Linked DNA regions of Kluyveromyces lactis. The protein of the gene in region 1 interacts with the protein of each later gene in a pairwise test. Links are inferred from orthologs where the notes say so. Each region holds a gene or a part of one and is shown on either strand. Other genes may lie near its edges.

Region 1 (2,760 bases):
GATGAGATAAAAGCTTCTCCCACTTCGATGTGTCATCATATACAAAATTCAATTCCGTTGGCTCGATGTTATTAAACCTCTGGCTTATTTCAAACGTTGTGTATGTATATAGCTCATCTTTAGAGGCTGTATTTTCGTAAGAATTGCAAATATCACATAAAATAGATATCAGATCAGAATCATCCTCTGGAACCAAGTTAAGCACCTGAGCTAATAATGTAACGTACTCCTGGATCATTATATTACAAACGTCATTCCCTAGTATAATATTTTCTTAGCAGAAATTCAACTAATCTATAAGTGAGTGAACGTATTTTGGGTTTTTTTCGCCCTTACTATGATAAGTGTTTGTTCGTTTGTTTCTCAAGCTGTTTCCCTAATTTCTTAGCTGTTTATTTTTTTCATAGATAAAGTACAAAAACTAGGAAAGTGTGCAAAAGATGAATAAGATTTGCAAGATATTCGTAACTTATACAAGTGTAATACATACACCATTCAACGAAAAAGCTATTTTGAAACATATTTTGCGTTCTCTCTATGCATCTTCTCTTGTCTCATAGCTTTAGCAGTCTCAGGATCGAACTTCTCCAACAAAATAGGGAACAAAACTAAAAATATCACTGTCACGACGCCTGCTAGCTTGAATTTTGATCTTAAAACACTGGCAATGGGACCACTCTCGAGGATTCCAGGATTTCTTATCTTTATATATTTTCTGTATGGTTGTTTGTTCATCGTTGTTATTGTTAAACGGTTTGCAGAATCCAAGGGTAATGGATTCAAAGTTTCGGGATATGTAATATCTGGAGATGGGAAATACTCTCTGCCAAATCTGTTCTCAAAGGCGCTGAGGTTAGGTTCCTGATCTTGCCCGTTACCTACAATTTGTATCAGTATTCTGTTGGGTTTCAAATTGAATTCATTGGAATGCGAATGTAATGTGAAGTATGTCGTCCTATTGATACCAGTGTCAATGGGAACATCGCTGAAGGTGAATTCACCATTGATATTCTCCAATTTTGATGACTGTGAATATGAATCCCATTCCGAGTCATCATTGGGATTCCGTATCCTGTACAGGTTAAAATAGGTTCTCGATATATCATGTCTCGAAACGTTCCTAACTTTCAAATCTAGTCTGCCCTTAATATCGAATGCAGCACCTGGGTTTACGAACTGCCAAACTAGAAAGCAAAAAAGTACAAAATTCATCCCCGATTCTTTGGAGGAGTAAACTAATTGCCATACGTTAGTTCAGTCTCAGAGTATAGTGTTTTTACCGTTATCATTAACTTCTTTATGCGTCTTAGTTACCATTCGAGATTCATTTCCAGAAGAAAGAATAGTTACTAATATTATTACCCGGATTTATCTGACTTTTGAACTTTTTCATTTTGTTCGTTCAAGAAAATTTAGTATAAAAGATGAGAATAAGATGCATTATTATAAACAATACTATACAGTAAGTTGAGATACGTCCGTTTTGATCAGGTCATAAGAAAGCGTACATTCCTCAGAACAGGTATTATTGTAGTGGATTTGTGACTCTCCAGACAATATCTTCTCTACAACCTGGTTCGAGATTAAAGCTTTCAGTTTGAAAATGGCTGTCAATGTTTAATGGAGTGATCTATACTGCGAAAGATGTTTCCAACATTGTTCGTCTAGGACCAATTACTCATATGCATACAGCCCGACATCTCATTCCCTCCTTATCCATCTAGTAAACGTTCAATAGATGATATATACAGAAACTTGCGCCGTATAGTTTTCTCTTTCTCTCTTGTTGACATAGGTTCGCCAATCTAACAACCGTGGAGTTCTACAGTAATTTCGGGACTGTCTAATTTCTGAAACACCCAGACATTGTTGAAGAGGGATGGCTTTCATTACTTTTCGAATTTCATTTATGTTAAGAATTTCCTAATTTGTCAAGATAGAATGTGGAAAATGAATGGCAGACACATTTTTGCCAGATCGTAGGTTTCAATATCCAAAGGTCAGCTTCAATTTTTCATAGTAACAAATTGTCAATGATTTTAATGAATTTATCATTTATTACATGTATAAGCTTGGATATATCAACATTAACTTTATTATTGTTTAAGCTTAGACCTCAGAGACCAGAAAAACATATCAAGAATGGCTAACGGTACGTGCGAGGGGTGGTATCCCGTTTAAAACCCTTTAGTTGTTCTTCAAGAAAGGATGGATAAAAACCATTGGAAAAAGTATGGATTACTCTGATAAGTGTATTCGTGTGTGATTTTGCGGAGTCGTGTCGATGTTAGTTATCTGTAATGGATTGTAACGTTAACACTTTCTTCAATCTCAATAGTGCTATCTCAAACAGTATTTTAGTGATGATGCAACGACAAGAAGGAGGAAGTACCCAAGTTGAGTAGGTGTTTCACCACAGAATCTCAGGTATTTTTCCTTACAGTCAAAGCAGGAAGCTTACGTTTGTAAAAGTGCTTGCACGACTCTTTCAGCCTGTAACAGAATCAGATAAATATCCGGATAATTCGATGATAATGAGGACATTATCACAAATGGGATTGATATGGAGCACTGAATAAAGGAGATATTTCTCTAACATCAAGTGTTCTATTACCTGCTCACTGGAGTCTGGGGATCAAAGCTCCCGTTCTAGCTATTTTAGAAGCTCACTGATCAAAGCGGATATACGAACACCACACATGACTTATATGGCAGATATGCATTCATTCTTAAAGAAGACTAAAGGAAGGGAAATTTCAA
Region 2 (2,408 bases), on another chromosome or scaffold:
TCGGCATAAATACCAACCATTATGCTAAGGCGTGATCCTACAGTTTTATCCTTGACTTCCGATGATATTTCCGAGCTACAAGAACATTTAGAAGAGTACAAGCTCCAACGCGAGATACAGACGCAACATCAAGATCTTTTGAAATCATCTGCAAAAATGAGTAGATTAGCAGAGATAGAAGGCATTTCTAACCCAAGTGCGACACGGAATGATATTTTATCACACTCATTGCATAAGATGACGCCACCTCAGCGATATAAACAGTCTGCATCATCAGATCCTCGATTCATTGAACAAAATAGTACACAGAGTACACAGGATCCTCCAAATCCCTTTTACACGTACAATCACAATGATAACTGACGTCCTAATGTGATTGGTGAAGTGCCTATATTGGCTATCGGCCCTGTATCTACTCCCGTTAGTTATTATTGCAAAGTCATTATATTATGTAATTCCCCAGTACATATTATATATATGTATGCGTTTAAGTTACCAATCTTTATCAACTCACAAACTGCGATGAAGGTATTCTTTGAACAGTTTCCTCTTAGCATGGATGTCAACAAATGAAGGAAGGTAGTTTATTTCCCCATAAGGATCATTGTTTATCACTACATCTGTACTGGACGCCTTGTTCAATTCGATAGGTTTAAGATACTCATCTGTCTCAATTATTCGTTCCTCCCCACGAATACTAAGGTACTTAAGCTTGGATTGACTGATAAATGTACCCAAAATAAAGAATAATAACCCGCATAGTGCCTCCAATTTTACGTCATCTGGTAAACCTGGAGTTTTAGCGTCTGGGTTCTCTAGAATGATATGTTTCACAATCTGATGAAATTCATAGCTGGACACACCAGAATGAATAATCTGTATCCACGCTATAAAGTAGAATGATTTGGAAAGTATTGACATTGTTGATTCCAAGATAAAACGGTGAATAGTAGTATTTAAGTAAAGTAACAAAGCCTATTTATGTTAGATCTGTCCAGTTGAACCTTATACTACCTATATTTTGTTTGGTATTCTTGAATAACCTTTCCGTTTTTTTTTTTTTCTGAGTGTTATAGAGTTTCCGACAAGAGAAACTATCTAGGTAAAAAAGAGAGATAGCATGCAGTACTGACACACAGCCGCATGATTGAGGAGAGCTTAGGTTATCGATAGCCATGTAATAGGTTTTATGTATTATGTTTAACACAATTCACCAAAAAAAAAAATAAACTGATTTAAATGCACTCGCAGGAATTTCATTTCGTAGGATCCCCAATAAGATTAGATTGGTGATGAAACAATGGGGTCTGCAGGGTGCGGAGGCGAATGAACTGTTTCATCCTGAGTGAATTCCTCAATTGGTTCAAGAACTTCATCATATTGTTGGGGTACTGGTTCTTGGTTTAATTTGGCTGCAGGATGGCTCTCAGCGTTATTTTTCGGTTCATCTTCGAAAACCGTTTCGCTTACTACACTCTCAAATAATGGCCCTAATTTCTCTTGGTTTAACCCAATTCTTGTAGTTAAATCGCTATAGTTTAGAATTCCAAGTTTGATGAGGCCTTTCAATTTAATGGTATAGATACAAAGCTCCTTCTCTGGATCTCCATCAACATCGACTAAGTTGACAGCGCCATAATTTACATCTTCATCAGCCACTCGATCTAGAGTTATTCCCAAAAATTTTCCAAGACAACTCTCAAGGTAGAGGAAAACTTTGTGGCAAATACCAGTTAGATCTTCGTTAGAGATAACTGAATATTCTTGCCTTAACGCCCTTATCCAATCGGAATCCTTTTCTGACAAATCGAGCTCAAACATTTTGAATGCAATGATAATATCTAACAATGGAGAGAGTATTACATGAAGCACATGGAATTTCTTGTCGTGTTGTATTTCAGGGTTAGAATCGATCTTTGAAGAAAGATTCAGCAATTCGACTAATACCGTTCTAATTTGATTCAGCGTAGTATGTGAAACAGCTATAGGTTCTTCATTATTTTTGATAACATCTCTCCAAGTTGCTAAATTCCAAGTAACTATTGAGGTGAAAAGCTTAAAATCTAGGACAGATATGGCATCCGAATCAATCTTTGGTAGTAATTCACTCAACGGCTTCAAGAATTTTTCAACAATGTCATCCAAAAGCGTTTCTGAAATTTCAATTGCGAACTCCTTACCCAAAATTACAAGTTTGTTAACATATTGCAGATATAATGTTGTTATTGAATTATCAGATTTTATGTCAAATGATTCCATAAACTTCTTGAATGATAATGTCACGTTAATCAGACATGACTTCCAATAACCAGTTACCTCTGGTATTTGAAGGGATGCCAAATATGGAATTAAACTCTTATAGGTTTTAGTAATGGCATTTGCGTTGCTCAAAACCACTGGAGAGCTTT

The links. The genes of interacting proteins can lie anywhere in the genome.
Region 2: the proteins of SOP4 (region 1) and EMC5 interact in binary tests that used the Saccharomyces cerevisiae proteins (3 or more experiments, as listed by UniProt). The link is inferred for Kluyveromyces lactis from reciprocal best matches to the Saccharomyces cerevisiae genes SOP4 and EMC5.

What each region holds. Positions count from the first base shown.
Region 1 is NC_006038.1:665,341-668,100, reverse strand, and holds SOP4 (Sop4p), read right to left. Parts: upstream 1,213-2,760; coding exon 508-1,212; downstream 1-507. Other genes in the region: BPH1 (Bph1p), read right to left, coding at 1-238; KLLA0_B07623g (40S ribosomal protein uS11), read left to right, coding at 2,143-2,152. UniProt on the Saccharomyces cerevisiae protein: Involved in the export of PMA1, possibly through the monitoring or assisting of PMA1 folding and acquisition of competence to enter vesicles.
Region 2 is NC_006042.1:2,571,134-2,573,541, forward strand, and holds EMC5 (Emc5p), read right to left. Parts: upstream 922-2,408; coding exon 511-921; downstream 1-510. Other genes in the region: anaphase promoting complex subunit CDC26, read left to right, coding at 22-363; cohesin subunit IRR1, read right to left, coding at 1,282-2,408. UniProt on the Saccharomyces cerevisiae protein: Part of the endoplasmic reticulum membrane protein complex (EMC) that enables the energy-independent insertion into endoplasmic reticulum membranes of newly synthesized membrane proteins.